Linked DNA regions of Drosophila melanogaster. The protein of the gene in region 4 interacts with the protein of the main gene of each other region in a pairwise test. Each region holds a gene or a part of one and is shown on either strand. Other genes may lie near its edges. The genes, in order: CG15198, Set2, Gp210 and CG4270.

Evidence for each region.
Region 1: the proteins of CG4270 (region 4) and CG15198 interact in a two-hybrid assay, tested with the Drosophila melanogaster proteins (one large-scale study listed by BioGRID).
Region 2: the proteins of CG4270 (region 4) and Set2 interact in a two-hybrid assay, tested with the Drosophila melanogaster proteins (one large-scale study listed by BioGRID).
Region 3: the proteins of CG4270 (region 4) and Gp210 interact in a two-hybrid assay, tested with the Drosophila melanogaster proteins (one large-scale study listed by BioGRID).

The regions. Positions count from the first base shown.
Region 1 is NC_004354.4:11,244,481-11,251,836, reverse strand, and holds CG15198 (uncharacterized protein), read right to left. Parts: upstream 3,602-7,356; 5' UTR 3,429-3,601; coding exon 3,060-3,428; 3' UTR 2,952-3,059; downstream 1-2,951. Other genes in the region: CG44422 (uncharacterized protein), read left to right, coding at 4,370-5,090.
Region 2 is NC_004354.4:13,409,529-13,418,565, reverse strand, and holds the start of Set2 (SET domain containing 2), read right to left. Parts: upstream 5,325-9,037; 5' UTR 5,100-5,324; coding exon 1,047-5,099; intron 976-1,046; coding exon 1-975. Other genes in the region: CG1998 (uncharacterized protein), read left to right, coding at 5,870-6,079, 6,150-6,304, 7,141-7,214, 8,049-8,224, 8,298-8,752, 8,817-8,967. UniProt on the Drosophila melanogaster protein: Histone methyltransferase that specifically trimethylates 'Lys-36' of histone H3 (H3K36me3). Represents the main enzyme generating H3K36me3, a specific tag for epigenetic transcriptional activation.
Region 3 is NT_033778.4:5,758,399-5,767,407, reverse strand, and holds the start of Gp210 (glycoprotein 210 kDa), read right to left. Parts: upstream 6,547-9,009; 5' UTR 6,501-6,546; coding exon 6,346-6,500; intron 6,275-6,345; coding exon 5,215-6,274; intron 4,815-5,214; coding exon 3,447-4,814; intron 3,388-3,446; coding exon 2,637-3,387; intron 2,578-2,636; coding exon 2,260-2,577; intron 2,229-2,259; exon of another isoform or gene 2,089-2,228; intron 1,921-2,088; coding exon 1,789-1,920; intron 1,729-1,788; coding exon 1,529-1,728; intron 1,469-1,528; coding exon 1,205-1,468; intron 956-1,204; coding exon 830-955; intron 718-829; coding exon 612-717; intron 124-611; coding exon 2-123; intron 1-1. Other genes in the region: CG7791 (uncharacterized protein), read left to right, coding at 7,096-7,230, 7,295-7,824, 7,878-9,009.
Region 4 is NT_033779.5:2,260,024-2,267,480, forward strand, and holds CG4270 (uncharacterized protein), read left to right. Parts: upstream 1-3,418; 5' UTR 3,419-3,534; coding exon 3,535-3,732; intron 3,733-3,792; coding exon 3,793-4,019; coding exon of another isoform or gene 4,020-4,023; exon of another isoform or gene 4,024-4,062; intron 4,063-4,073; coding exon 4,074-4,161; 3' UTR 4,162-4,218; downstream 4,219-7,457. Other genes in the region: CG34049 (uncharacterized protein), read right to left, coding at 4,244-4,397, 4,460-4,686, 4,749-5,288.

The DNA.
Region 1 (7,356 bases), on a different chromosome or scaffold from region 4:
GATAAACGGTTTACGATTTTTCCTTTGTACGAATTTCCCTCGCTATCTCTTAAAATAATCTAAACAAGTCGCCACATTTTCATTTTTCATTTTAGAGCGGCAATTGTAAAATGGTTCAACGACTTGCCGTTAACGATTTAGCACACAAAAAATAAAAGAGGTAGCTTAAAAGCTTAACAAACTAACGACTATTAAGGGGTTCGACAACGACGAATATAAAAAACTGGCAGCAAAGTGCTTCATTTTTCTTCGCGAACAGAGCGACTCCACGCGACTCAACTCGACTCGACTCAACTCGCATTTAACAAGAAAATCACATTAAATGTTGTTGTTATTGCCGGCGGGTTGCACTTGCATTTGTTGCAGTTTTTTGCCGTTGTTTGCTAGTTTTGTTGCACGTGGCATCGTCGACGGCAAAATGGGTGAAATGCATAAATCATTTGGCAAACAGGTGCTGGCAAAGAAAGCAAAAGCAAAAGCACTGGCAGCAGCATCGACTGCAATTTTGCCAAGTACCAGGACGAGTGCACACACACACACACATGCACACACGCACCCACACAGAAAGGCGAACACACATACATATGTACATACATGGTGTCCTCGACAGGGATGCCAAAATAAAACCCAAAAAAAAAAAAAAAAACAAATCAGAGCAGAGCTGATGAATGCTTTCACACAATTCAACTAAGATTAAGTTCAATACCGAAAGGCGTTACTTTTTACTTGTGCACTCTAAGGTTAATTATAAATAAATAAAAATATATAATCATTCAATGGGTATTGCAAATGTTAATTCAAGTAAATTAAATTCCAAGTATTCTTACGCAAAGATACGTTTACATAAGTTTTTTTTTTGCTCCTATATAAATTATAGAATCTACTTTTTAAAAATGTTGAAATGTTGGGCTAAAAGTAAATGGTTAACTGCTTCGAGTATGACCAACTTTGCAACACTGTTCGGTTGCAGCATAAAGGTTGCAAGGTTGGCGGCATAAAGTGTTCAGCTCCTTGTTGCTGTTCCTGCTGCTGCTGCTGCTGATGGTGCTGCTGTTGTGCAGTTGCATAAGTCTATCAATAAATAATAAATTTTTACTTCATTGAATTTGCAAAAGCAATACGTTCGATAGACTCCAGGCCGAACGCACCGCACTCCTGCAGCGCCCCAAACGATTGGGCCAAAGGATGATGTGCATGTGAATGTGGATGCTGCTGCTCCTGCTCCTGATCCATTTGCCAGTTGCCAGCGAACCATAAATGATGCAGCTGCAGCTTCAGATGAAATCCATCGCAACGGCTTGCAAATGTACGAACGAATTTCTTTCCAAAAATAATGCTCCCCGAATGGGATTCCACTCGAATCGTTTATTGTTGAACAGTTAACGGGAAAACTCTTTAGCCGCCGAAAATTTAAGTAACCAACTGGCTTTCTTAAATAATTGGCATTCAGCCAATGATCCATTGCTATGATATAACTAACCAAAGGATTTCTGAAACACCACATTTTGCAAAAAATTCATACTTTCAACTAATTCAATTTGCTATAACTTGGCCAAAAAAGGTCACCCATTCAAAAAAAAAAGTACTTTTTTATACAGCTAATAAATCAAAGAAACGATTTCTATGACCATTTTGTTAATTTGATAAAATAAATTTTTTTCAAATTTTCAGATTTTTTATAAGGGGTAACATCATCATTTTTTGCGAAAAATTGACAAAAAATTACATTTTTAACTGTGAATGCCATTCGAAAGGCAATTTTATGACGAGTTCAACGAGGTATGGCATTCCATGTTTGGATAAATAACTTTATTGCTATGAACAAAATAATGATTATATTTTGTTGAAAAATTGGTGTTTCATTTTGGCAAAATGATGATTTTTTCGAAGAATTCAGTTTGCTATAACTTGGCCAAAAATGGTCACTTATTCAAAAAAATTACTGTTTTATACAGCTAATGATCCAAATAAACGATTTCTGTAACCGTTTTGTTAATTTGAAAAAATTGATTTTTTTCAAATTTTCAGATTTTTTATAAGGGGTAACATCATCATTTTTTGCGAAAAATTGACAAAAAATTACATTTTTAACTGTGAATGCCATTCGAAAGGCAATTTTATGACGAGTTCAACGAGGTATGGCATTCCATGTTTGGATAAATAACTTTATTGCTATGAACAAAATAATGATTATATTTTGTTGAAAAATTGGTGTTTCATTTTGGCAAAATGATGATTTTTTCGAAGAATTCAGTTTGCTATAACTTGGCCAAAAATGGTCACTTATTCAAAAAAATTACTGTTTTATACAGCTAATGATCCAAATAAACGATTTCTGTAACCGTTTTGTTAATTTGAAAAAATTGATTTTTTTCAAATTTTCAGATTTTTTATAAGGGGTAACATCATCATTTTTTGCGAAAAATTGAAAAAAAATTACATTTTTAACTGTGAATGCCATTCGAAAGACAATTTTATGACGAGTTCAACGAGGTATGGCATTCCATGTTTGGATAAATAACTTTATTGCTATGAACAAAATAATGATTATATTTTGTTGAAAAATTGGTGTTTCATTTTGGCAAAATGATGATTTTTTCGAAGAATTCAGTTTGCTATAACTTGGCCAAAAATGGTCACTTATTCAAAAAAATTACTGTTTTATACAGCTAATGATCCAAATAAACGATTTCTGTAACCGTTTTGTTAATTTGAAAAAATTGATTTTTTTCAAATTTTCAGATTTTTTATAAGGGGTAACATCATCATTTTTTGCGAAAAATTGAAAAAAAATTACATTTTTAACTGTGAATGCCATTCGAAAGACAATTTTATGACGAGTTCAACGAGGTATGGCATTCCATATTTGGACAACTATTTACATTGCTGTAGGAAAAAGACTGATCATTTTTCGACAGACTATAGAAAAAATACGAATGGATTATTTTTCTGGGCCTTTTATTTTTGTATTTGGGGCTAGCTTGGTGTTGCGAGTTAGCCTATTCAAATAGCCAGTTGGTAGATAAAGCTTTCTGATCCAATGTGAACTTCCTCTGGTTCTAACCACAGCCAGGACCATCGATGCGAGCGCCCTCCATGCAGGGATACGGCTTGCATGTGGTGTTGTTGGAAGACGACGCACCCTGATCCCCTCCAGTGCCCGCTGCTCCGCCCATACGAGCGGCGGCGGCCAGGACCTCGACGGTGCTATATATGTTGGCCACGATTACCATGCCGCCCGCAGCTCCGCTGGGCAAACTGTTGGGATCCGTTGCATCCGTTGGAGAACCATTGGTGGTCGTAGTAGTTGGCTGACAGTTGGGTGAGCATTGCTGGCCGGGAATCTCGGGAATGGCACACGCCTTGCTGGGATGTGGGCCAATGTAGAAGGGATTGAAGGGTTTGTCGTCGGACTCGAGGGTTTTCATGGTGATGGTGAGCGCAGCAACGTTTAAACGGCAAAGGTAGAAAATGTGGAAAAACACGGAGTTATTCACACGGAAAAATTTTGAATTTTTTTTTTTTTGGCTAGTTTTCCGAACTGTTCGGTGTAAGGTTTGCCCCAATACTGAACAAAAGTCAACCACACGGATGGTTTTATCTATGCGAGTTTCATTGCGAGGCCTACTTACTTGGGATAACAAATGTTTAATTTAGTTGTAATATTTTGCATAAATTTAATAGGTTACAATGTGCGTTAGCATCTCAATCGATGTGCATTGGCAACTTAGTTAGCCGCAATTTACTGAGAAGGCAATTGTCTAGTTTAGTGTATCATTTAGTAAATAGGATTAAAATGGGCTAACAAGTGCGCTTACAACAGCTTTATAATTCACATACGCACACACACGCACACACATACGCATGCACGCATACTAACAATGCAACGCTGCTGGCAAATGGAATAAATGGAAATTCCTGGAAATAGTTTTCTTTGTTATTTACTCTATTCCGATCAAATTAAGATAATTAGAAAATAATATGGGAACACGATAAAGTACCCAGCTTCGAAAGCATTTGGTACAGTTTGTTTGTACTGTTTTTGGGAAACTAATTAATTCCCAAATGAAATTAAATTAAAGAAATTGATCGGTTTAGAGACCTAAATGCCTTAGTATCGGAACTAACATATATATTCTGCTCGATTTTACTCGCTTCTCGCAGATGCGGCACCGCTTAACCCCAATCTGCCTAACAAAGTGACCGCCGTAACCATGTAACTGTCCAATATGCTACTAAAACCACTAAAACCAGCCAGCGACAATTAAAGCCAGCCGCTAGAGAGGATCGGGAGCAGGAACAGGAGCAGCAGAAGGAGGTGGAACTCTAGCCGCTCCAGCAGTACATAACATACACTGAGAGAAACATTATGGCCGGGCCACAGGTGCAGCACAGCCAGCGACCGAATAGCGCCTACTACACGGGTCTAAATGGTGGTTCCGGCAGCGGCGGCGGCGGAGGAGGAGGAGGAGCTGGAGGCGGCGGCGCAGGTGGTGGATCCTCCGCCGGAATGTCAAGCAGTGCATCGCACACCGGACTGCATGCCCTGCGCCAGGTGAGCAACGAAACGGAGCTCATCTATCGTGGAAGCCACAGCAATGGCACCGTCAACGAGCTGCCCTCGAGCGCCCAGCATCACCTGCTCACAGGTCGAGCGGTCCAGCAGCACCAGCAGCAGCAGCAGATGCATCACCAGACGGTGAGCAGCATCGCTGGCACCGGATCCAGTGTCACAGATGCCCTCATCAGCACCATTAACTCCGGCGGTGGCGGTGGTGGTCCCTCCGGCAGCAGTTGCTCCACGGCGGCATTGGGCATTAAAAAGTCCAGCACGCAACGCAGCATCGAGATTATTGTGGACGCCAGTCAGTGCGGCAAGGAGCTGGTGGCCAGTGGTCCGGGTTCGGGTGCAGCGGGCTCGGGGGCAGCGATTGTCTCCACCCTGGACGTGGAAGATGTGGAGCAGGGCGGTGGCGGTCAGGAGTCCTCCTCCTCGCATAGGAAATCATCGCGCCATCGGCATCGACCGCTCCACCGGCGGCTGATCACGTATCTGCGGAACCTCTTCCAAGGCAGCACCACACAGAATGGTAAGGCAGCTTTTGTAAGAGGAGCAACTGCATCCACTTGGGCATTTCATGCATTTTCCTAAGCTTCTAGTTTTGAGCTAGATAATTTCTTGTAAGGAAAGAGGGAAACCCGAAACTTAGATATGTGATATGATTAAAGTACATTTGTCAGTTTCTTAAGAAGTTGTTTTGAATTATATTATTTCAATTGGTTAAAAAAAGTAGTTAAATTTAACCTTTTTAACAAATGAAAATTTAAATATTATCATTAATGATTTCTGTTTCTAAAGAGCGTTTTTTTTTTCACTGTAAAGTTTTAGTTTTTCAAAAGCACTCTTCCACTTTCACTTGTCACCCTCTGTTTTATATTCTTTTCAGAGTGTACTTTACATATTTGATTTTTTCTTTTTGATTTCTGTTTTTTTTCTTTCTGTGTAGCTGTGAAAACTCTGCTGGTTGCCTGGGGCTGCATCGCAAAGCGTAAGCGGCAATGTCTGTTCTTCACCCGTAGAACCCCTTAACCCTTACCCTAACCGCGCCGCCTTTAACCCGATTGTTGGCCATGACTAACCCCTGCCAAAAAACGTGCTAACCATTTTCAGTTTGGGTCAATTCATGGCCATGAATCCACAGCCGTTGGCCTGGCCGCGTTGCAGATATACATATTTTTTTTTGTTTTTGTGCGCATCTTGAGGTTGGCAGGCGGGAAAAAACGCTCGTAAAACGCGCCTGCGGTTCCGCGGCTGTTTTTGTCGCCTGGCCGAAATTTATGCATGGCGAACTTTTTTTTTTTTTGCGAACGAAAAATCATCAGAGCGTCCTTGAATGGATTTTCTATTGAAAATCTATTAGGCGTTTGCGGTGTATGTATTTTTTGTTGTTGTGGGCGACGCCTGAAGCTGGAAATTGCTTGGCCTCTCTCTATTGTGTTTGAAATTTTATTTACGAGTATTTCAGGACCTGTGAAAAAGTAATTTTAGATTTAAGGTGATTGCCGTAGGCCAAAAATAATTGTTAAAGATTAAATTGAATTTCATTTTGAAATTCTTTTATTGTTATAATTTTGTTTCCTCGCAAAAAATGTGCTCTGCCAACGCGGCGTATGATTTATAACATATTACTCATGCGCCGTGTTGCCATCAGCATAACATATTAAATTTCCTAAATATTGTTAAGTAGATTCACGAATTTGAAGCCCAAATCTGTTTGCCTGTGGCGAAGGCACAATCAATCAAATTTGTATAAGTTCTTTTATTTTTTTGGGAACCCTCAACGGATTGTCGAGCAAAACTTTTACATTGTTACTTTCCAATTCGATTCGATTTGATTTGATTTAATCTGAAGAGCAACGAAATCCTTCGCTTAACCCTTTTGTGTCTGCTGTGTCTTGCATGATTAATTATGGAAATTGATGGAGCTCCGGGTGCTCGTGCTCCCCAAGTTGAGATTGCATTGATTGTTTACGGCTCAACTATGAGAGCGGATCCCCTTTGGCTCCTTTGGCTCCTTGGAAGTTCACTCAGCCATCGAGTCCTTCGAGCAGCTTCTTTTGTCAATTTGCCCGCCCAGAGCTCTCCGTCTTCATCGTTGTTCATCCTTGTTTTTTGTCTGTTCCGCTTAGTTCCCTGCCATTCAGTATTTTCCCTATTCGATTTTCCCGCCCAATTTCCATCACCCACACCCCCACCCCTTTTTTTGCCATCGTACAAGAGCAGTTGGCAAAATGATGAGCTCAACATAAAAGTTGCATGGCTCATCCTGAAAATTGAATGCAGGAACGGTTGGAGAGGAAATCGATATGGAAAACAATATAATATTTGTTTGTCAGAGCTTTGGATTCGAATGTTTTACACTGAGATAAATATGGGGTTCATTTGATGCCAGAGTATCAAATACGTCGTCAAAGGTAAACAAAATAATGAGTAAGTCTTGTTTGCATTTACAAGGGAATATAAATATAAATATCTAAATATATCTATTTTCTATTAAATTGTATATTGAGTTGATGCCGATGGAAATTGTGGCAGTGGATTAGCGTAGCTGGCCATGGGTAACTGTTGACAATGGCAGTAGACAAGAAATCGAAACTCTCGGAGCACAGGAACTTTGAATCTCAGTCGCCCACACTTGACTCTCACCACTTTCGGAGAAAGTATTTTCGACATTTGCAATGGGCGACGGATTTGCAGCTTGGCCAGCGATGAGAAGCGGCGCAAAAGTTTTATTGAAAAAGTTTGATGAATGACAAGTTGGCTTCCTGCGAAAAGCAGCGACTCCATTGCGCCAG
Region 2 (9,037 bases), on a different chromosome or scaffold from region 4:
GTCCTGTTGGTTCTTAAGCCCGCCGCGCCTAAGCAGCGAGAGCTCCTCCACCACATCGGGATCCTCGAGCATTGCCTGGAATTTGTTGACCTTTGGTTTCTTTGGAGGCTTTTCGGCCGATGATGATGACCCGGTAGCAGAGGGCTTCAGCCAGCGGCCGGCTTTGTATTCGCGATCCTTGGGCTTGGTCTGCTCCTTGCGCTTGCGACCGGTGGCCAGTGGTAGCTTCGCCTTGAGCTTCGACTTCGCCTTTGCCTTGGCTGACTTGCGCGGCTGGCCCTCCTCCGGCTCGGCTTCCAGCTCCTCCTCGTCCATCTCAGCATCGCTGTCGCTTTCCTCATCCAGTTGCTCGCCCTCATCCGAGTCCGGTTCACCTCCAATCCAACCCCTGCAGTTGGCTGCCTCGCAGTAGCAACGCTGCGCATCTCGGCCATACCTCAGGTACTGGTAATCGAAGGTAATCTCCTCGCCGGGTTGAATAGGCTTCACGCTGAAGAAACCAATGCGTAGCTCTCCGTTGACCGTCCATTTCTGCGTCTCGGCATTCGGATCGCAACTGTGGTTGATGTACCGCGAGATATTACCCTTGGAGGTGGCGTCGATGACGGCTTCTCCTCGCAGCGCCATGAAATAGTAGTGACGATTGCGATCCTTCGAGTACAGATGCTGTCGGCGCTCGAACTCCTCGCTATCGATCACCTCGCCCACATACTCCATGATGAATTCACCCGGCGGTATTAGCAGTTCCGCCGTGATGCCGCATCCCTTCTTCTCCGTGCGAAAAACGCGACATGGCCAGCACTGGTGCTGCTGGAAGCGCTTGTTGGTGCACCGCGCGCCATTTGAGCACAGTGGTCCGCACTCGATCATCAGCATTCGATTGATGCAGCCGGCGCCGCAGCTTAGATGACCCTGCGCCTCCTCGTCGCCAGTGAGAAAGCAATCGCATTGCATTTCGGCATTCTCTTGGCTCACCTGAAAGCACAGAAATTATGGAATGGATGAAGTTCTAGTGCGGATCGTGTGGAACCCAATCGATCACTCACCTGCCTGGCACAACGATAGAAGTTTTCCTTTAGCAACTGGAAAGTGTTCAGGCCCTCGCTGCGCAGAAACTGCTCGTTGATGGCCTCGATGTTGGCCAGCTCGGCCAGCTGCTCGTCCATGCTGATTGGTGCTAGCGCAACGCTGGCCACACCTCTGCCCTGGCTAGCGCGTGGTCCCTGCGGCTTCTGCTTGATCCGATGGGAGCGGCGCACGCCTCCGCCGGTCTCAAGCTCCTTGAGAACAGTCGTGGTGGATGCTGAGTCCTCCGGATTCGATTGCGTGGGCGATGGGGTAGGCGTTGTGGCCGGGGTCTCCATATTAGCCACCCGTTGCGCGAATTCATCCTCCTCGGGATCGGCTTCTCGCTTCACTTCATCCTGCCCCTCCTTCCGTTGATCTTCATCCACCTTGTCGCGCTTGAGAAGATTCACGCCGTCCTCGATAAACTTGGCAATGTCGCCGAACGGATTGGCAGCCTCCAGTTCCGGCGAGGTTTGCACATCCCAGCGGCTCATTTTGCTTCCCGATGAAGTGGACTCGGACGACTCAGTTTCCAAGAGCGCCGCACTTAGAATTTCTGCAGACTTTAGGGCCTTCTTTTTCGGTGCTCCTTGGGAGGCACTCGAACTGGAGTCTAGCGAATTCTGGCGGCTCAGTGACTCTTTGCCTTCCTTTCGGCCCCGCTTCTTGCCCGCCGTTTGAAGAAGGGTATCGTGCAGCGGATTCGCAGATGCCTTGGGATGCATCGAGAAGCGGCGCTTGGTCAGCGGTACTGGTATGGCGGTCTCGGGTTGACGATCCTCGCAGATGGTGTACCGTCGTTGATCCAACTTGGAGCCACCGTCCAGATCAGACGTGGTTCTCTTGGATCCGTTTCGCTTCGATGAGGAATCCGATGAGGTGGAAACTGGCGAGCTGGCGGCCACCTCCCTAGTGGGTGTGCTGCTACTCGAGCTCGATCTGAGATCCTTGGCTGCCTCACATATCGTGCTGCGTCGCGGATTAATCTTCTTTTTGACCTTCGATGGCTTCAACTTGCCAGCCGAAGTGTTTGCTTGAGCGGAATCGGAGCTGGGAGAACTGTTCCGTTCCAAATTGGGTGAGTCTTCGTAGACGGTGTTCCTGCGCAAGCTGGTCTTACCAGACAGCGACTTTTTTTGCCCAGGAACAGGCACGGCGGTGGGTGGTTCTACCTTTGGCGGTGCCTCTACCTTGGTCGGCACCTTCTTCAGCTTTTTCTTGTTCTTCTCATCGAGACGCAACTGGGCGTTTGCCAAATCCATTGCCTTAAACATGGCATCGCACTCAACGAAACCGGACACAGCTTTCTCTTTGGCCTTGAGAACCGATGGTGGCGAATTGTCGGAAAGACCTTTCTTTGCTGCATGTTGTTCCTCTTTGGGTGCGGGTTGATTCGATGTGGTTTTCGAGATCACTGACGGTGCAGATTCTTGTGGTGGCTTAGTACTGCTCTTTGGCAAAGTTTGGAGCTGAGGTGACCATTGGGCAGTATCTTTTCCCTTTTTATCCAGTGTATTAGGTGATGACGAATCTAATTTTGCTGAAGACTTCTCCTTTTCAGTTTCCTTCTTCAAAATAGCTTCCTTTGCAGATTTTCCACTCTCTTTTTGCTTAGCAGGAGTTACGGCTGCACAAGATTTCTTCGAATCCATTTTCTTTTCTGGAACAGTCCCTTTCGTGGATTTTACGACCTTCTTTTCCATTTCACCTGCGCGTACTTTTTTATCCACAATTGCTGGCGAAGACCTGGCCGGATTTTCCATTGCCTTCTCCTTTTTGGACACAGTTTCGGCGACGGGTTTCTCGGGCTCCTTCATCTCTGGCAACGGTGTTTGCTTTTGCCCCTTTTGATTGTTGCACTTCATCATTTCGTCTTCAGCTACTTGTTCCTGGTTGCTTTCGTAATCTTCTAGCAAAAAATTAGGTTCTTCCGAACTATTCGATGCCTCTTCTTCCGGAGCGGCCGGTGGACTATCCTCTTTCGCTGCCTCAGTCTTCAATGGAGTGGTTTCTACATTTTCGTTCGACTTTTCTTCCGTTGACAATGATGTTTCTAATAGTACCGGTCCACTTACACTTTCCAGGGTGCAACATTCTGGCGGCACAAGTGGAGACGACGTCGTTTCCACTTCGGCGGATAAAATTCGCTCGGACTTTGGAATGTTTACTGCTGGCTTCGATTCGGGCAGTTCTACCTCCGTTTGCTTTGGATCGGATTCATCTTTTAGTGGCGGCTCTATTACGACTTCATCGGATAGTTTTGTTTCTGCAATCATTTCTGTAGTTGGTTTTGTTACTACGGCTGATTTTTCAAGAGTTGCAGCAATTCCTTCTGTAATATAAACATCTTCGGTGACCATTTCTGGCCGTGGGACCACTTCGCCACACGTAGCTTTAGTTTCCACTTTTGGCTCGAAAATGTCTTTGTTCAAGCTTGCAGCAATATTGTCTGACTCTGAAAATACTTTTTTAATGACAAATTCTTGCTTGGAATCAAGGATTTCATCCGCTTCATCCACCAACTGGTTCTCTTCGACTACGACTTCTTCCACCACCATGTGCTCGATAGTGGGCGACACGGACGACGTAACCTCTGACTCACTTAGCGTGTCTTCGATGAGATCTATCAGTATGTGCTGCTCCTCCTGATCCTGTGATTCCTCCGCCTCCAGGATCTGCTTGCTGCTCTCAGCGGCTATCTCGGCGAAGGTCTCCTCGAGAGTCTTCCCCTGGCGACTGCTGCCACTCAACGGCGCTGACCGCCTGCTGCGCCGTGGAGCTGAAGAGCAGGAATCCGCTGCAGGCTCCTTTCCCGGTGGAGTGGCTCTCTGAACTGTCGCATCCTCCTCTTCCTCGGCTTCATCGTCCGCTGACCAGAGACTGGGTGGCCCACTGAGCACCTCCACCATAATCTCATCTAGATCTTCTTCCGGGTCGGGAGTTGGTTCCTGCTTGGCCAGCTCCATGTCGATGTCGATCAAATCTTGTGGTTCCACCTCGACTGGCCGTCCCTCTTCCTGCTCCTCCTCTCCCTTGGGGCTCTCCGTTTCGATCTCAATGAATATGATCTGTGAGTCGGAATCGGAGTTTTCCTCGGCATCGACCATTCGGCTCAGGTTCTGCTCCTGCTTTGGCCGTTCGTCCATGGCGTTCTCATCCTGGAGTGCTGGTGGCTCAACCTCCGGCGAAGAGGACGATGGCGAGTTCCCCGAATCGGAGGACTCCAGCCGGCCGCCCAGTTTCAAGCGTTTGAGTGAGACCCGCAACTTGGACTTGGGTTTCTGTATGGGAAAGCCAGGAAGCTCGCCGCTGTCACTGCTCATGTTGGAAGTGGTCGTGCTGGTGGAGTTCGTATCGGAATCGGAGCAGCTGGGCACAATGACAGTTGGAATAATGGCCGCATCCGCTAGTTGACTCTTACGGGGACGACCCCGCTTGCGAGGTGTCACCGGCGGCAGGCCGGCCATCGTCTGCACAGGATGTGCGCCACCAACAGCCGATGGTTCACTGGTAACCTGGGCCACAATCAGACTCTGTGTGGGTCTTGGCTTGGCGAAGATCTCGAGGGCGGTTGGCGGCGGTGGTGGTGGCGGCAATGATTGGTGGCTCATCTCGAACATGGAAAACAAACGGCTCACGGTCGCGGCTGAGGATGCAGATGCGGCTGATGCTGTTGCTGTTGACATGGATGTGGATGCTGCAGTTGTGCCTGACTGGGAGTGGCCGGTACTGGGATTCGAGTCGATCCGTGCCTCGATCTGGATTTTGTGCGCCTTGCGGTTCTTGTTTAGCAAATCCCGGACATCGAACTTGATGATTTTCTTGCGCGAACTGCGCCGGCACTCGCTCTGTCCGGAATCCTGATCCTCCGGCGCCGTGGGCGATGCCTCTGCATCGGCGTGTTTTAACGATGGATTAATGTGCGGGGGCGTATTTCCCAACGCGGAAAGCGCCACTTTCGGCGGGCGACCACGTCCGCGGCCACGTGACGCAACCGGAGACGGATTGCTTGGCGGACCCGACTCCTCCATTTGTGGGCGAAGTGAGGGCGGGGTGGTGCGGCGGGTGTAGCGCAGCGGGCTAGCCGCAGCCTCCGGATGCTAAATCGCGCAGTCCAACGACGGGGGATGCAGATTTGTGTCCGATTTGCAGTGATATCTACTCTTTGCGTGCCATCCCAAATCCCTGAAACGATTAGTTAGAAACTAACTGCACTTGCTGTCACATGCACACGGCGAGACACCAATACCAATGCAACTTCGATTTTTCTCTCCGTCGGCGGTCTTCTTCTTTCTTGTTGTTTATGCACTGCGCGCAGTGTTGCCAAGCGAGATTTTGTTTTCGGGATGAGTACCTAGGCTACGTACAGGGTAGATGTCCTCGCTCAGTCTGTGGTATATTATTGGCCATGCTTGGCATGGTCACACTGCGTGCGAGATAGCGATAGAGAGAGAGAGAGCGAGAGAGCTTGATTAGGAAAATTCAAAAATAATCGCTCGCACTTTTTTTTTGTTTTGTACAAACGTTTCATGTTGCAAAGTTAACAATTATTTATAATTATTATTATTTATTCAGTGCGCTTGCCAGCAGGCCGAATTCGTTTCGAATTCCACGCACATGGGCTGCCAAACAATCGAAAAATCGAAATGCGTTAAATGTCAAGGACAACGGAAAAGCCACAACAAAAACAATAGGAAAGCAACGGAAAATCTACGAAGAGAGCGAGAGAGCAACTTGACTGGGAAAGTTTCGGAAGGAAAGTAAGAAAAACCGGGAAACTACTCGAGATTAAGACGTAAATATGTCAAATCCGGTGCACGGAAAACCGCCAAATAGCATGGGCCTCTCATCCGGCTCATTATCCGCATCCTCGCCCATTTCGGTGTCCCAGCAAGCGGGAAGCTCTGGGAACAGTTCCTCATCATCATCATCCTCCTCCTCCTATTCGTTGGGCGGTGGAATCGTCAAGGACAAGGCGGGTCTGCCGCCGGTCTACCTCAACCTGAATGATGTAAGCCGGCTGGAATCACATCTACTCTATACTAATAATAATAATAATTAATAATCCCCTGATCCCCCAGAATGCCAAGGAACAGACACCATTGCCTGGTTCACCGCTGCAAAACTGGGATGACGCCCGCACCGCCGACGTTTGGCTGTCCTCGCTGCACAGCGTCATCTTCATCATCACCTGCGCCCTGGCCGCCTTCATTCTGTTCCGCAACGTGCTCACCTGGTAATTATCGGGATTCTGGGCGGGAGTCCGCTTTCTCCCGCCTTCTGGCACCTCTCCTCGTTTAGGGCTTAGTAATTTTCACACAGATTTTCAATCTAAATGGAAGCTTCTGGGCCAACTTACCCAATTAGTAAAGATAATAGCTGAAAATAGTTTTGGGGCAATGATTGCATTATTATAAGCTTATTGATATCATAATTTGTTTTTTTTTTTTTTGCTCAAAAATGCAAAATTTAAAATCCGCATTCTGAGTCGATAGCCCTTGTGACCTCAGAGTGGACCATTATATAAGAGTTGCATTAGATTTCACTATATTCCCAGGTGAAGAGAACGGAATAGTAATCAGCGTGTTTGTTTAGTTATTTAAGCGTATACTCTTCATTGCTATAGAATAATAGACAAATTGAAAGTGCAATCATGAAATAGGCTTTCTAAGGCGAAAATCTACTCGAATTGCCTTTATGAACGAGGTTAGCATAGCATACCATAGATTTCTAGATCACAAACGACATAGAAGGGCATCCAAAGTTCGGTTTTCTGCTTTCTTCCCCACACTCTCTCTTTCTCATTTTTTTTTTTTGGCGAGAGTGTGGAACTAAGTTGAGCTTCGGTTTTGTGAGCTGCGCTTTTCCCTGCGATCAAAATCGCCAGTTGCCTTTGCGACGCTCAGCAGCGAAGACACGCGATTTGCGTGAAGAAAGCGAGAGAGAGAGAGAGAGAGAGAGCGAAGAATCGGGAGAAAGCCAATTCTGCAAGAACCAGAACATATACATATACACACTGAGATTACGAGCCATGGAGGATAAATTCATGGAGGTTTCTTATATCTATGCCAGGCATCTGCAGAGCTTTTGGGGAGCCTCCGGTGATTTCTGGCAGTCGCAGTGGGACAAATTCATCGACTCGTTCGGTAAGTGAATCTAACAAGTATCATATCCAAAACAAAGGGTAAAAGAATGGATAAGTTGACAGGTAAACTTTGCTCCTCTCTTTGTGTACATTGTGTACATGGGCGATACTGTGCAAATTGCAACTCTCAGCCACTGGGCGACACAGCAAAATGTCAACAACAACTGTTTTGTTTACTAATTCCATCGCACAGACACAGAGATACGGGCACAAAGATACAAAGAGACACATGCAAGAGATACAGATACAAATGCAACCAGAAGTGCTGCCAATTAGGCGAAATGAATCGCCGCGTTACTCACGCAAATTTGAATTCTTCAGCAAACAAATGTTTAGTACTCACACACCCCAATCGGGTTAGCCACACTTATTATTTAACCATAACTCTGTTTGGCCAGAGTAAATACGTTAATTCACGCATTGCACAATGGGCTCAATGTTCCGGGCTCATCGGTTAACCGATTTTGCTTAAGCTCAAAGTCAGAAGCTGAGTAAACAGGGTTCATAGGCCCGTTTTATTGCATTTTCCTTACAGCGTTTACAATTTACAATTCACACGATTCATTGCGTTAAGAACTTTACTTAAGCCACTTATCTTTATGGGTTTATTTGCCTGCTTTTTTTTACGGTCTACATATGATTTATATCCAGCTGTTGCTTGGATATTTCTTTATACATTTATAGATTTAATAACATCCATTCTCATATGAATCAATTCACTATGCATCTATTTAAATTTTGGATTCCAATTATAACTTTGCATACTTTAAGGCATCACTTATAGACTCTTTTATCGCCAGCTATTAATTCAATTTGAAATAAACAAATCTTCCAGGCGACGAGCCCATGGTTCTTTGGGTCTTCGGTACCACCATATTCACGATGCTCGTCTACTGGACCGTGGGCACACTGTACACCTTCATGGACCTGACCAATCGGCCCGCCTGTCTGCGCAAGTACAAGATCCAGCCGGGCACCAATGAGCCCGTGGAGGTTCGTCGTCTGCTAAAGGTAATGCAATCGATCGATCGATCGAGAAATTTATATTCAATTGATCCCACTGTCTGACCCCTCCGAATTCCAGGTGATCTGGTGCGTGGTCTGCAACCAGATATTCGTGGGCATACCATTGGCCTATGCCAGCTATCGACTAATGGAGATCCGTGGACTGAGCGACATTCGTGACCTGCCCACATTCCACTGGGTCTGCTTTGAGCTGACCGTGTGCATCCTGATGGAGGAGCTGGGATTCTACTATTCGCACCGTCTGCTGCACCACAAGCACATCTACAAGTACATCCATAAGCAGCATCATGAGTGGACGGCCCCCATCTCGGTGACGGCCATCTATTGCCATCCCATTGAGCACATCTTTAGCAACCTGTTGCCGCCCTTCCTGGGCGTCTTTCTCATGGGCAGCCATGTGGCCACCGCGTGGCTGTGGTTCGCCCTGGCCATCCTTTCAACACTCAACGCCCACTCCGGCTATCATCTGCCGTTCTTTCCCAGTCCCGAGGCGCATGATTTTCACCATTTAAAGTAATTGATTGGCAACTAGTGATATAAACTAGGCTAATATGCTGTTTTCCTTGCCAACCGACAGATTCAACAACTGTTTCGGCGTGCTGGGCGTCTTGGATCGCCTCCATGGCACCGATTCCCTTTTCCGGGCCACCAAGTCGTATGCGCGACACATCATGATGCTGAGCTTCAAGCCGCCGCGCGATGCATTCCCCGATCCGACGATGAAGTAAAGCGGCGAAGTGAAAGTTCTCTTGTGCATGGGCAGCAAGCATTTCTCAATCTGTGTATACAAATTTCAAT
Region 3 (9,009 bases), on a different chromosome or scaffold from region 4:
CCGTATCCGATTCGCGAACTTCCAGGTCATACTTTAAAAATCCGCCGCGTTTTGTCTCGTCGCCATTAGTGATCTCAATCTTTTCTCCCGGCTTTAGTCGATGACTTAACACCTGGGCAATGCCTGTAATGGAGAGGAGGATATAAACTATGTATCTTAGTGGGTAAAATAATTTTGGGGTGAAGATAGAAAGTGCGAGTGCGACGCCCACCTAACGCCCACGCATATTAAAAATGTTTTGATATTTTTTCATTTTTTTATCAGTCTTGTCCTGAAAAACGGGTATCTGATAGGTGGGGAACTCAACTATAGCATTCCCTTTTGTTTTTTGATGTAGACGGCTTCGCTCATTTTCGATGTTAAGAAAAGAATACTTGTGATTTTATATATACAATCGATCTGAGAAGTTCTCCCTTTGAAGAGTTTTAAACAGAAAGGCTTAAATTTTAGACTCGACTAGATGGATACGAATATACATATATATTTTATAAAATCCAAAACATCATAGTGGCGTTATGGAAAAGCGTCCCAAAATTGTGATTTAAATGCAAGGGTATACCAATGCTCACTAAAGGTGGGATTAAAGTGAATGCAAGCAGTAAATTACTCACCTGTATGCTTATTAATGTAAACTATCTGCTCATTGGAGCTTCGCCAAGTCGATGACAACGTTAAAGGTGAATCGAAACAAATTATGTCGCCAACAGAGAAAATAGTCTGCCGGTTGGATAAAGTTTTGTCAAAGCCAAATAAGTTACAGACGACGGATGTTCCATTAAAACATTTATAAGTAAGAAAGCAAGTTCCACTTATTTGGGAGAATAAATACCTTGGTGGGAAATAAATTGTCCGACTCGACAACAGATAGCTTTATGAAGTCCATGGAGTGCTTGACACCCGTTGAGTCCTTTAGACTAATGCCAATGACATTGTTGGTCTCTCGCATCAAGTTCAACTAAACGAAAATGAGTGTAACAGACAAATATAAATTACATTTGAATGTTAAAATGCGAATGTATTCGCTTTAAATTAAGACACAAGTAGCCGAACCTTTCATTCAAATAATTAAAACCTAAATGAATTTACACTTTTTGGTCTGAGATAAAAAAAATTGGGCTCTCTTTAACTACTTGGAGAAAGGAAAGTATACAATTTGACATGGCAATGATGGAGCGTTACAATCATATGACTTAATTACACTTACCGCAAACGTTAGATTATTATCTATCTGGACATCCACATCATCTTTGTTGCCGAGTTCATATCGTAGTCCGTTGAAATCCTCGATGTTGTGCGACAGCTCGTTGCCTAAATTGTCGTGAAGCGACACTTTAAACACAAAGTTCATTCCACGCGGGATTTTGTGTTCAAGCTCTCTTAATTTGAGGATTGGCATCAGCGTTACTAAAATGTATTGCACATTTTTAACTTCAATTCCTATGGGTAGGGATTGGTCCGCGGTCGTCGCCTATATTAAAAATACTAAATTCAAGTCCTCCCGTGTAGGGTTCGAAAAGCAGGTTCTCACAATTATCAGATCACGGCCAAGAGAGTCCTTTGTGTGTACAAGGCCATCTGGTGTTACACTGACAATGCCATTACTTCGATCGTCCAGTTTATAGACCACATTATCCATATTAGATTTAAGCTGAAGAATGCTTCGCGGCGCAGCCAAAATTGAATCCATTTTAATGGCATTTGGTGTTACCAGCTCCAATGTTTTAAAAACTGCAATACAATTTTTAATTATTATGGTAGACATAGGTGGCCGTTTCAGCTTGAACGTACCTTGTAAGTCCACTGTAGCTGGTGGCAGTATTGTTCCGTCTGCCAAAGTAACCGATGCCGTGATTGTTGCCTTTCCAGGATTGAGGGCTCTTACTCTAACTGATATCAAATCCCCACTCTGATACTCTATTCCTGCAGTAGTAAAAAACGTAATTTATTACTATTTGTTATGTATAGAAACTATGTATCCAATTGCAGAGGTTAAGTTATACTAAACTCTTTGCAAAAGAGATTCGTTGAAAAATGTGTAACAAGCGGAAGGAAGCGCTTCACATCATCAAATATCACAGTCATAGAAACTATTGTATATTCCGTATCTGTGCCTGCTTTGAAACTCATTCAGGCAGGCTCATCGAAGAATACATTGTTTTTGTTATCCGTGCTCTTGGTGGCCATAGAGCTACAGTCTCTTATCTCTACAGCGGTATCCGAACACGTTTATTTTTAAACAATAGATAAAAGTATACTAACCTGCAGTTGTAAATACATTAAATATCTCAACCACCTGTGGTTGGCTTACTTTCCAGGAGATTTTAGTGTTTTGCAAGGTACCCAAAATCATGGGCGACAAATCAGAAAGACCCCACAAGGTAGCTGGCATTACGGCCCCACTATGAATGCGGACCAAAGGCGTTCGAATCTGTACTCCTTTCAGAGCCACTACGTGTACCTCCACCGAGTCCTGGGAGACCACCTCGTCCTTTCCAGTGACAGGGTTTTTTAGAAGACATTTGCCTACGATTTTGGTGGTCCCCAGCTTATGGGCCGTAACAACAGTAGAGCTTATAGCTGACGATAAAAAACAAAAGGGATTACGTGATTTTAAGATGATACACAAAAAAACTTACTTGCTACTTGCTCCTTCTCCACTGAGATTATCATGTTGGTATTTGGGTGCGGTCCTCCATGGAAGTACACCTGTATACTGCTGCCCACCACTAGAGTTGAGTCGCGCGGAAAGAGACGAATTGGAGCGAAAACTTGAATATTTAGAGGGTCGCTTGCCACCTTATAAATGCCCTTGCCAGACTGAAATAATATTTTGGTTTCGCCGACTTGGTTGCCCGTAATTGTGTAGCGGATCTCTCCGGGTCCTACATTTTCCTGCTCGCCTAGGCGCACGCTCAGTATACTTTGGTCTGCGACAACCTCGGATAAATCGTACGCACTAAGTTTGCTCTGGTCCACAAGCAAGAGATTATCATTGGTATCAAAAAGCCTTACGATAGCTTCGATTCTAGTAGTGCGTTCTAGCCGGTCCATGCTAACTACCTCAATAGCCCCGATTCCAACCACAGAGATGGATAAATGGCTGGGTTCGTTCATTAAGCAACGGTCGGTCAACTCAAGACGAACATGGCCAAGGCGTAGTGGCGTCAGCACTAGGATTCGGGTATTTTCATTGTATTCAACTTGAACAATACCTGCCTCGGAGAGCTCCAGCTGCAAGTAGCCGCTGCCCTGGGCGATTGGTATTCGCTCGCTATAGCCCGAGGCCAGAAAAATGCTCATGTAATCTTTTGGCAACAACGTACTGTTAACGGCGTGTAACCTAATTTCATTTTCAATCAGAGGAGTGTATATTAAACCCGTCTGAGGCTGTAAAAAAATTATCATTAAATTTTTACGGATTACTAACGTTGAAGAGGATTACCCACATTTTTGATTCCAAAGGGAGGACGCTCCGCGTGAATACCGTGTTGGGCAAGTAGCTTGTCGTTATACTGGGACACCGTTCCCTTAATGCGGAAGTTGGTCGCCACTTCACTCAATGTCAAGACAAGAAGGTCGCGACTCGGCAGGGTAACTCCATGATTGAACTCCAATTCAGAAATCTGACGGTGCGGGATAATGTTCTTCTGGTATCGCTCTTCACCAGCGGAAAACTCCCAGTCAAGCCCTAGTGAGCTGATATTCATGAGCCTACGATTATTTGAATCGTGTACCTCGATTTCAATTTCAATTTTATTCTCTGGATCTTTCAGGAATAATAACGAGGTGCGCTTCTCCAGGGGGCAGGAGTCACGCAGGTTATGGCGAGCGTAGAGCTTTAGGAAGCGAGGACGGACGCAATGCACCTTTGTGGTCACCTCCGATTGATATAAGGCAAAGCTTGAGGTGGGAAGGCTATTATGCACTCGGTAAGTGAACTGCGTCTCGCCCAGCTCACGACACAGCACGGTGAACGCAGTTATCAAATTTTGCGTGTCGAACTCTAATTTAGACACTTTTAATATTTTTTCATCAAAAGCGGTAGATTGTATGATTTCTGCTGCCACCGTAAAACTGCGCTGCGGCCCATTAGCATAAATTATATTACGGGATGACCCAACGGGAAGAACAACCTCGTTTTCTATTGGATTTAGCACGACTAATGGCTCAAAGACATACAAATCAATAATGTCGTAAAGCACTTTGTCCATATACATATAGGAAACGCGTAGCGAGGTGGTGCCCACAGCGGTGGCCCGCAACCGAAGCACATGACACGCCTCGTGAGCAGCCTCCGCCCCTTCATTACCCTCCAACTGCAGAATGGGCTGGCTGAAGTCTAGTTGGAAGTGAAGATTATCACAACTTGTGTAGGGAACCTCTGAATTATTTATTCGAGCGTATACGCCCACATGCACGTGTACGAAGTCCTTCAGGGCGGTCTCAAAGTTGCTCCGCGTGATCTGAAGGCGCTCAGGGGGGAGAAAGTAGATATGTGCCACACGGGAAATTTTCTGGTTCTTGGATAGAGCCACCTTGACGGTGGTGTGGGCGGTCAGTTTACCACCATCTTTCAGTACCTCCTGGTTCACGTAAGCGGATTTCACGTCGCGGATTTCAGTTGTGGCTTGGCCCTGGGTGTCAATCTGGATCACCTGTGGATTTCCGGAGAACCAAGCGTAGTTGTTATCTCCGCCAGATGCATGAAACTGCAGCTTTAAAGGTTTTAAGCTGTTAGGATCGTATGGCAACACCACCTTGGTTGGCGCTAACTGAAGCTCCTCAAATATCTGAAGCTCAGCTTGTACCGACAGCTGCAACATAAATAACAATATTATAAGAACTTTTAATATAACAAATAGACTTTTGGACTATTATTTTGAGTTAACCTTCTATAAAAAATGCAAACAATTTAAAATTCTACATATCACTGCGGTTGACTTTATAAAAATAGATATTTATTTGACTTATTTAATATTTTATTTACTTCGTTATAAAAGAGGTGGGCAAACGAAATGAATTATTTTTAGCGGTCGGCAAGCAATAAAAACAAATTTTAATTAATGGCTTTTTTTTTGTTAGATAATATTTAGTTTTTAGAAGTGGACAAACGCCTAATTATATGATAATACCGCGATTCTTTTTAATGGGTTATATCTATGCACATATTTTCTAGAGTAATATATATAACAAACATTTTAGTTATAAACTTACGTCTTTATATGAGCCATACACCTGAGTGATTCCCTCTTTTTTTGCTTGACCGAAAAGGCGGCTTCCGTTGCGAGTACGATCAACAATGGCGAAAAAGGATTCATCCACCTCTGAGTTGATTGAATATTTAGTGCCCATTGTGATCTTCTGACCGTCGGCAGCAAAAAGATCCAATGCTATAGCGTGATGCTCGCCTTGTACTGTCACCCAATTGAGATGGGGCAACAGACTGATGGACAACCTATTCGGATATGCCACAGTCAATAGAGCGCTGGGTCCCTTTTGGACCTCATCAGAGTCCGCCATGTTGCGGTCTCGCAGAAAGACCTGGGTGCGACCCAGAGCCGCTCCGGTGGCACTGTTTCCACGAAGGTATGCAATGCTGGAGTCCTCCACCTCCAAATAATACTGATTGTTGTCTATAACGTGCAGTCGGTCCATCTTCAGCTGCAGAATGCGAAATGAGACGGAGTCTCCAGCCATTATGGTGACTTCGGAAGGCTCAATTATAATGTTTGCAAGAACGCTGATGTACACCTCAACTGGCCGCACATGCTTGTACTCGGCCTGAGGCATGGCGATGGTCACCTTGGCGGTGCCAGTATTAATGCCCTCAAGGAGGATCATGTGCCCCTTCTTGCCGTCGGCTTCAAACTTTTCAATGGTGGGCGGTACAGTGTGGTACGGACTGTCCGTGAACGTGAGGTATCGCATTGCGGTGGGCCTTTTGCTACCGGGTTCCAAAATCTCCCAGTCAAACTCGATTCCCTCCAAGGTAAAAAACTCGTTGCCTTGTTCATCAAAGGCGTGCAGCTCGAACATGGCGGGCGCCTCCTCCAGGTAAAGTTGTCGAGTGGCGGTGCGCACATTTAGACTAGCAATGACATCCACAATCACGTCGGAACGCAGCGTCTCGCCCGTTTGTACTTCCTCGGCGAAGACGATTGCAGTGTTCCTCCGACGATCGTGAGTGCGGACTGTCACCACCGCCTGGTATGCACATTCGCTGAAGCCCTTGTAAATGGGCATGACAGATATCAAGTCCTGGCGTGAGGACGACCTGCAAGTTCAGCATAGTAGTAGTAGTAGTTCTAGAAGTTATAAAATTATATCTGTATGACGCCGATTTACCATTTGTAGCAGTTCGGCTCGTCGACTTCCAGGGTAAAGTTTATTGCCTTGTCTTCGAATATTGGTAGTAACACACGCGGGTGGTTCAACCTAGCTGCCTCAGAAGCATGATTTCTTACCAAAATCAGCAAAATCATGCAAAGAATAGAATCCATCGTGCCGGCAAACGAGCCACGCGCGGAACGAGATGCTGGATAGGGATGGACAAGAATGACAATATCGCAAATATCAACTATCGATAAATTATATTATACGGGTTTCAAAAATACCAATATATCACTTATTATATGTGATGTAAATCATAATCAGTTGTATATCTGTACCTCAAGTTAAACGAAGACTTACATATTACGTATAACAGCTTTTTTTATAATTATATTTATTTACAAATAAAATTGGGTTTTTGCTTGTAAATATTTATCAAATAACATCATTTTCGGGATACCCTGCAACTCAGTCTTAATAGGAATATTATTCTTTTTGTATTCCTAAAATAGGACTCGCTTAAGCTTAATTAACATTTATTTTTCTGTAATATCTAAACTAATCCTAGTTAAACTGGTGACAGCTTTAGAAAAATACTGTTAACACAACTCAACTCTATACAGCTGCACATGCAGTTAATTGATGTCTGTAATCGAAAAGCAAAACGTCTGGCAACATCGGGTTGACTTCACCGGCAGCTGACTTCTCATGTAACCATTTCGTTATAAACAAGCAATTTAAGTGATCCGAAATTGGGGAAGTGCCATGCTAGAATTTGGTCGAACATTGCTGCGCTGGAGAACGCGGCACTGCAGTCGCAGAGTCTCTACGTGGACGCCGCTGGCTACGGCGTTTAATGCGCCACCGGCTAGGCGGATCAACTTCACCCACGACGATGTTGTAAGACCCAAAGTCTGTAAAACGCAGGACCTCTGACTAGGCATACATGGCCTTTTTCCCGTAGGGCCTCTTTGGCATGCCCGAACTGCGGAGTTTTGAGGGCTTCTATCTCCTTCGAGACAATGTGGAAAGCCGGACGCAGGAGCTGATCTCCGAGGCCACCTCCGATCAACGACGTCGAAAGATGGTCGACATTTTTGACGAGCTTTCTGACTCATTGTGCAAGGTGGCGGACCTCGCAGAGTTTGTTCGTATCGCGCATCCTCAGAGCAGATACACCCAAGCAGCAGAGCAGGCCTGCATAAGCATTTGCGGAATGGTCGAGAGCCTTAACACGCATAAGCCCATCTATAAGGCTTTAAGCCACGTAGTGGATCATGGAGATAAGCTGCCCACCAGCGAAGTGGACAGACATGTGTCGCGTTTGTTCCTTTTCGACTTTGAGCAGTGTGGAATTCACTTGCCCGAGGAGGAACGTATGCGTGTTGTGCGGCTAAATGACTATATTCTTCAGCTCGGCCAGAAGTTCATGAGTGGAGCTGTGCAACCTAGTGTTCTTCCACGCAGCCAAGTCCCTGAGTCCTTTCGTAACTAGTAAGTTCACATATAACACTATCTGGGCTATACTAAAGATTTTTTTTTGTCAGCTTTCCTACCTCTGGGGAAAATGTAATTATCACTGGACTGTGCACAAACGCAGAGAACGTTCAGATGCGGGAGGCTGCCTACCGGTTGTACCTGCAGCCGTCAAAGAGCCAGGAGGATCTTCTCCGAGACCTACTGCTTTGCCGGCATGAACTGGCGCGTAGCTGTGGCTTCGATACATATGCACACCGGGCACTCAAAGGTAGCACGATGGAGAAACCCGAAGTGGTACGAGAGTTTATCGACGAGCTGTCGGAAAAGCTGCGACCGCGCGCAGATTGCGATTTCGCCCTGATGTCACAAATGAAACGCCGTGAAGGCGGGAAGGCGGATGCAAGAGCCGAAGTTTGGGATACGCCGTATTATACCAACCAGCTGAGGCGGCAATTATTTGAGGAGCACGCCAACGAGTTCCTGCCATATTTCTCTCTTGGTGGTTGCATGGAAGGTCTGGACAATTTGCTACACGCGCTTTACGGTATCCGTTTGCAGAACACAGATTTAAAGCCAGGCGAGGCCTGGCACAACGACATCTACAAGCTCGCCGTTGTCCACGAGAGGGAAGGACTGCTAGGCTACATTTACTGTGACTTCTATGAGAGAGTGGGGAAGCCAAATCAGGACTGTCACTTCACCATCCAGGGCGGCAAACGTATGCCGGACGGCTCCTACCAGCTCCCCGTGGTGGTGGTCATGCTGGGTCTAGCGCAACCGCGGTGGAGTGGACCGACGCTTCTGTCACCAGCGCGATTGGACAACCTGTTTCACGAAATGGGTCACGCAATGCATTCGATGCTAGCTCGCACCGAGCATCAGCATGTGACGGGAACGCGCTGTTCCACGGACTTCGCTGAGGTCCCCAGTGTGCTCATGGAGTACTTTGCGGGCGATCCCCGTGTGTTGCGAACCTTCGCCCGCCACTTTCAGACCCACGAACCCATTTCCGAGGACATGCTAAGACGCCTGTGTGCTTCCAAGAATCTGTTCGCCGCTAGCGAGACCCAACTTCAGGTTTTCTACTCAGCGCTGGACCAGGAATATCACGGAGCATCGGCGCGGCATGGCCAAAGCAGCACAGACACCTTGCGCTCAGTACAGGATCATTACTACGGACTTCCCTACGTAGATAACACT
Region 4 (7,457 bases):
ACTGTGAAAATTGCTGGGATTTTGGGGGCGGCGAGGGCGTGTCCGCGGTGCTTATGGCCATCGCCATTTATTTAAACGTACGCGAACAGCGATTCGTGCTGCGATTTCCTCGATTGGAAAAATTGAATTATAACCATTTGATGAGCTCAATAAAAACTGGCAGCTGCCTTTGCCAATGATGGCCTTTCAAAAGGTTCGAAGTTCGGTTAAAAAAACGATGTAATTTTTGGACAGCCGTCATGAGTATTACGAGATTAAGGCTTATTATTATTTGTTCACTATGTGTGTATGGGCCACTTTTAATCCACATTTCCAGCTGATGAAAAAATCCCGAGCATATAGTGCTTAAATCCGGTGCCATTCATCTGGTTCCATCCGTCGCCACATACGACGCACTTTTCACATCCACTTTGCTCGCTGGCGGAAAATTTGCACCACCGATTGACGCGATAGCTTTTAGCCAAGTTCATTGCATCAAAAGGCAAAGCCAATAAAAAAGGCGAAACAGCGCCATTTAGCCGGAGGAAAGGCGATCTCCGTGCCACTGTAACTCGCTCAATTGAATAGACAAAGGGGGGGCATTTCGATGCGGCGCCCCTTTCAACATCCAGTCCTTGGAGCCCCTCCACTTCCCCCTGCGGAGGAGGTGGCATTCCGAACAGGCGCTCAGAAATCGCAGACAGGTGCTCGGTGCCCAGGATTCAGCCGAAAAGGATGGAGGCACAGTGACAGCGGATTGCAGGGGATCAGAGGGAGACCAATCGAGCTTTATTACACTGCGAAAAATGGTGCGAGTGTGTGCGTTCAGTTTCTTCTATTACAGCTCATTTTAAATGGGTTAAATATGAGTTTAATTTCCTAATAAAATGCCAATCTATTTATATACGTATTTTATATTAAAACCTACAATAAATCTCCCAAGTGTAGTGGTGGCTCAAAGTAGCACGCAGCTGAGTGGCAGAGTCCTGAAGTTTGGCGACGGCGGCCACCGTTAGTAATCCACTTTTTCGTCCTGCTCCTCCTCCCGCTGCCTTCCTTTGGGCCGCAAACATTTTAGCTTTTATGGCCGAAAGGCGCAAAATATGACTGCCAGCCAGACTTTGCCGGCGCACACATGCAAATGCAATTTCCAAAAAATTTTTCCGCCAAAAAGTCGTGCATGAGAATGTGGTTCGCAGAAACGAACCCAAAATTGTTCGTTGTTGTAGTTTTAAGTCGCTCGATAGCAATCCTGGCCCAAAAACAATTTTGGTAGGGCGGCGGAGATGTTCGAAAAAAAAACTTTTCGCTTTGCCATAAACCGATTTGGTAGCAAATTTTATGTCGTTTAGATGGAAAATTTCCATTTGACTGCCCTTCGCGGGGATCAAGGATTCAAGGAGTTCTCGTTGAGCTTTGTTTGCTCGATTTTTCAGTGACTTATTTCTGTTCTGTTGCATTTTATCGCTAATTGACATTACCGAGGGTCAAAGGCAACTGGAATGGCATCCGACTAATTGAATTCCAGGTGGGCGGTAAGTGGAAAAGCGGAAAAGCTATTCATTAACCTTTGGCACTTTGTTAATGGATTTAAAGAGTAAGTGATACTAAAAGGTGTGGAATGTGAAGCTTATAACATTTGAAATCGTTGGGAATACTTAAGCTTAACGACATTGGAATACGCATGCTACCAATGAAATCTGCTGGAATACAAGAATACATTTATTGGCTGCAGTTGAGATTGTTTGGCTTCAAATTCAGAATGAACTTTTTAAATTGTGCATTCATTTTTTGTGCGGTACTTACCCTATGCCAAAACATGACCAATTCGAATCAATGGGAATCGGAATTAAAGGCAGTATCCGTATGTGCAACCGAGTGCATCCGGCTCCGGATGCCGTGTGGTTGATGGAAATGCGAGCCTGTTTGCCCAGATACCAGATACGATATATCAGATACCATCTATGTATATAATGCCCGCATGCTCGAAATAAGAGTGCGAGTGTATTTATTTTGCGTATGGCGCGCACTGTACCCTCCACTCGACCAGCAATGCATAAATAAACGAAACCAAATTTGCGAAATTAATTAAATCGACAGAAAAGTAACGTGTGCGCTTTGCGTTTTACGCTTTGACTGTGGCCAGCTTACAACCCAAACAATTTGGCCACCCAGCCACTGAACCACCCAATCCCCCAGCCACCCAACCACCCAACCACACATTTTCCAACTCCGATGGCACCGAAATTGTGAATTGTGCATTGTGCGGATGACGCGACTGTGCATCGCGTTTCTGACAGAGGCCATGGAAACCTGAAATGCAGCGAGCAGGCTTAAAGTTTATTACAATATTACCAGAAATTCTACCAGCGGCTTAAATGGAGCCATTTATCCATTTCGAAAATATCTTTGTCTATAGAGCAAATGAAAATAAGAAATGGAAAAGGGAGCTCCCGATTAATTGAATTGAAATTCATCCTAATCTTTGATATTGATTGAATTATATATTACCAATTAACCAAATTGGCTTTAATCTGTATTAACATTAATACTTATTTAAATTCGCGGCTTAATAAACTATTTTATCCAGCTTTAAGCTTATGGCCGAGTACTTAAGTACTTAGTACACAAATTCACATAAATCAATGAGCTGGGCCATAATTTAGTGCCTGGCACATGAGTATATCAAACGCAATGCTGTGACCCCGCATCCACCTTGCGGCGCACAGGATAATTTCAGCGAGTCAGCCTGTCCTGCGGCTGTATCCGCCTATCTGTACATCGGAGCATCGGCTTAATCTCTGCCGGGAGCAGCGACATCGGCCGGTCCATTGATTTGCATTTGCACAACTCATTAGGGATTCACACTTGAAGCACCACCCGCAGCGCAGACACACACTCACACACTTAAATAATTTAATATTCCGAGTGTTTCGACATCGAAATTTGCACTTCCATGGGCGGCGCTGCGGGCGATTGATAAGGGGCCTCCATGTCGGCCAACTCGCATTATCCAGCTCGATTCAGTCGGCAATTAATGCCACTCCAATTGCCCGATTTGCCTGCACCTACATATCCAGCCATATGGCTGGATTGCGAAAGAATCGCCGGCTCATTAATAACCAAACCCAGTGACATGCATCACTCATACGTCACGTTGGTTAATCCCATCGGCAGATGCAGAAGAAGGATGTGTGATACAGTCTGTCTAATTCCCGTCAATGGATTTGGGCACGCACACGTCCTGTGAATCCGTCACCCACAGCCTGTGTTTGCGGTATCAATCACAATGCTAATACCGATGTTTAGGCCAGATTATGAGGCGGTTTGAAAAAAGGGTTTTTCGGCTGTAAACAAAACATTGTGATTGATGGGTGAGCTATTCAGAACTCAGTGAAAATTTTAATTGACTGCCTTGTATACATGTATAATAACCACTTAATTTTGTAACTTAAAAACGAGAAATGTTGATCTAGCCAGCTAGCTTAAAAAGTCATTAGGCATACGTAAATTTGGTTAACTAAATCACGGCGCCAGCCAATCCCCCAAAGAAATATGGCGAAGAGAAACGTAGCGCCCATTCCCAAAACCCACGAGCGCCCTCCAGGTCCCAGGGGTCAGGATACCAAGGGCAACAACGAGCTCTTCCTGAAGGAGGTCTTCAATACCACCAATAAATATCGGGCAATGCACGGCTGTCCCGCGGTGACCATTAATGCTGCACTAAATAAGCTGGCTCAGGAATGGGCCAATGTAGGATGAGGGATAAAGAGTATTCTATAGTATTTTATATTAATTTGCACCCATTTCCAGCATCTCCGCGATCAGAACACAATGGCGCACAGACCCAATCCCAAGTACGGCGAAAACATTTTCCTCTCCGGTGGAATGGATGTGACCGGTGATCTGCCGGTGGAAATGTGGTATCGGGAAATCAATAGCTACGATTTCAACAAGGCGCAGTTTGTGCCCACCGCTGGACACTTTACTCAGCTCATTTGGAAGTCGTCGGTGGAAATGGGTTCGGGTGTGGCCCGAAAGTGAGTCTTATGGCTATGGCTATGGTAATCCTATTCATACATGTCTTCCAATAGAGCGGATAGAACTTGGGTGGTTTGCAACTACAATCCTCCCGGCAATGTTGTGGGTTTGTTCAAGGATAATGTGCCGCCAAAGCAATAACTCTGGGATTTTTTGATCAAAATTTTAAGCATAATAAAAGCGTAATCTAGGTCCAGTATTTGTTTGTTTTATTTACCATTTTCTATTTTAAATTGTGATGTTTCGATTTTCTAGTTTCCTTGGCATCCAAGTCCGATTTAAGTAGAAGGAATTTTCTAGGCAGGACATTTTCCCTGAAATGTTCGCTTACATTTCCAGGCGGATGGTAATTGCACACAATCCAAATGGAGGAAACACTGCGTGTAAAATGTAGTTAGTTTCGGATTATTTTTAGTATGACTTAAAATTATGAACCCACTCGCATGCCACGCCCACTCCCAGGAACTCTGACTCTCTCCAAACCAACTGGGTAAAATGTCCAGTGTACAAATTAAAGCCTGGCTTTAAGTAATCGTAGTTGTATTTTTCTTGGTACCAGAGTTTCAGTATTTGATCCACGGAGAATTTGGATCTCCGGACACGCATAATATTCTCGCCGTAAAGAGGATTAGGTCGAGTTTCCAGTTTGTTCAGATCAGCCAAATGCTGTGGAAATCAAGTTTAGGTGAAAAAGAAAGGATCTATTTATATTAAATACATCTACATACATCTGCCCACTCCTGTGCATAGGAACAAAGTTTTTCATCCATTTTCAGGGGATTGGCGTTGTGAAGCCTTCGGTACTTATTGGTTTCCCTTAGTACAGCTTGTTTTATAGGCTTGCGTCGAATGATAGGAATTTTGTATATTTCAAATTCCTTTAACAGAGACTTCTTATCTTTTTTCAGTTTTTTCGACTGAATGGAACTTCTGGAAGATGTTTTGCACTTGGGAGCTGCGCATTGTAAACACCTTTTACCATGCGACCAATCCTTTTCTGTGTTAAGTGATCTATTTGGTGTTGATGGAAATTTGACTGGCAGTGACTTTATGGAATTTATAGATTGTGATCTCTGGACCTCGCAGGCCAGATAGTTCCGGGAATTATGGTAAATCTTAATGGGTTTACGGCAGAAGGAAGTGAGGCAGCTGCGGCACTTTTCCAAATCGCGGTTGCTTGAATCGCAACCAATAAACGTAGCGTCATTGTGCTGAATTATCTGCAAAGGACATTTCTCTGCCGACTGGACTTTATTTTCAATCTCCATTTAATTTAATATATTCATAGTAATATCGAAAATTTTGTAAGTTGGAAATTATTTTGTATATGAAGTTAAAGAGACTGGTGGCTGGTGTTGCTTTTTCCTAGACTTTTCGCTTTCACCAGCGCACGTTATCCTGGCTTTCCTTTTTTTTTATTAATATTAATTCTGTTTTTTCCCGTTTATTTTGGCGACAATTTCGCGTCACACATCATTAATTTTAAATTTCTGCCATAAATATCAACGGGGCGTGTATGAGCAGCGGGTGGTGACGGGTCACAAAGGTGTCAAGGTGAAATTATGGTAGCAGCAAGCTCCCCTCCTCTCCCCGTGACCTCTGACCTCCACCGAGTTAGCCTGCTTTTTGATTGACTGTTTGTCACTTGGGCATGAAAATTAAAATGGAATTTTTTACGCCCGGAGTTTTGGGGGAATGTTTTTTAGCGGACTGTTGATGAATTGATGGAGATAAAAATATTTATGATTCAATTTCCATGCCGTGCTTTCATTGATATTGAGTTCAGATCGTTAGGCTTTGTAATGAATACTACGTTAAATATACAAACTAATAATACTGGTAATTGGACTTTTTATTTAAATATTGTACATGACTGCTGCACTCTCTGACCGTTTGAATAATTTAATGTTGAATGTCATTAACCATACCCTTTAAAATCTCTGAGAAATCAAATTTTCGGTATTCTACCTAAACTGATTCGTAGAACCTTAACATTTTCCGACTTGCCACTTTCCGTGAGGCAGGAGCTATATTATTGAAACCCCCGTAACCGTAACCGTAACCGTTAACCCAATAAACCACTTTTAGGGGCGACAGGCGAACGGCAAGCGACTTTCGCTGTTGGCTTCAGTTTCACACCGTCAACAAGTGACAAGCACACCATCGCAAATATCCATAGACACACAGACAGATACGTATACGATACATATACGTGTTACTGGCATCACGTCAAAGTTGGTTGGCGTAATGCCACAGAAATTTCAGCAGCCTGCAACAAAAGCGAGTCAACCAAAATGGGAACGGTCAAAACAACAGCATAAAAATTGGTAAAATTTAAATTCACACACATACACACACTCGCAACAAAATCCCAGCAGGAAGAAGTGATCATAAGGCCTGCCCCAAAAAGTATACTATGAATTTTTATGGCGCTTTTTGGGTTTTTTTTAATTTCCACAAGCTGCCAAAAAAGGAAGAGGGACCCTCTGGTGTCCTGATGTACGTGATGGTTACATATATTGCGCTACTGAACCGAAGGTCCTTTTTTAATCGTGCTAGGTCGGTTAAAAAATATTCTTCTATGTAAATGATTTTAACAATTTCCCATTTTTTGTATTAAATTTCAATTTAATGTTGACCTACAATAAATATATTTAATTAGTTGCGGTTATGTTTATGAAGTTCGGGGAAAAAAGGAAAATCTATTAGACTCAAGCAACTATTAAATTTTAATTACAAAAATATATGGCATAAGATGAGTGAAATACGAATAAAGTGAAAATCCTTTTGGCTTTAATATTAAAATTTCAACACCTGAGGGAATAAGCCGCATTTACCACTTAGTTTCCGCAGCCGTCACACAGGACTCTTTGTGCCATTGTACACCTCGTCGAATGGTTAAATGCGTTCAACTGTCAAAAAGCCGCAGACAAAAGTTCAATTTAATTACCACAAAAGAAAGTGGGACAACAAAAGGTGTGCAATTTCCATGGGAAACCCAAAACTTCGGATCGCACTGTCTGCCAATAAATCCTGCCGACTGCCAATGAGTTTTACAATGTAATTAAGCAGACAGGGTAACTTATTTCTGTCCCCCCACCCCGCACTACCACATCTTCTTACCCGTTAACCAGGGGTAAATGAGGTCAGGGGGGGAGGGGGCGTGGCAGCGGGAGACGGAGGCTGTGGGGCAGGAACCGAAAGTCGAAGGGCGAAGGAAGTTCCTCTCAGTGAAAGCTTTCTTCGTTATGCATTGTAATTTGCGTGTAATTTTCAAGGCGTTGGGCGAAACGTGGAAATGCTATTGCAACAACAGCGGCAATAATAATTGCAACTGCAACAACAGCAGCAGCAACCAACAACAGCAACAACAAGAACAGAAACACCAACAAGAGCAGCTGCTTAAAGGCAAAAGTCTCATTTATTTTAATGTGTCG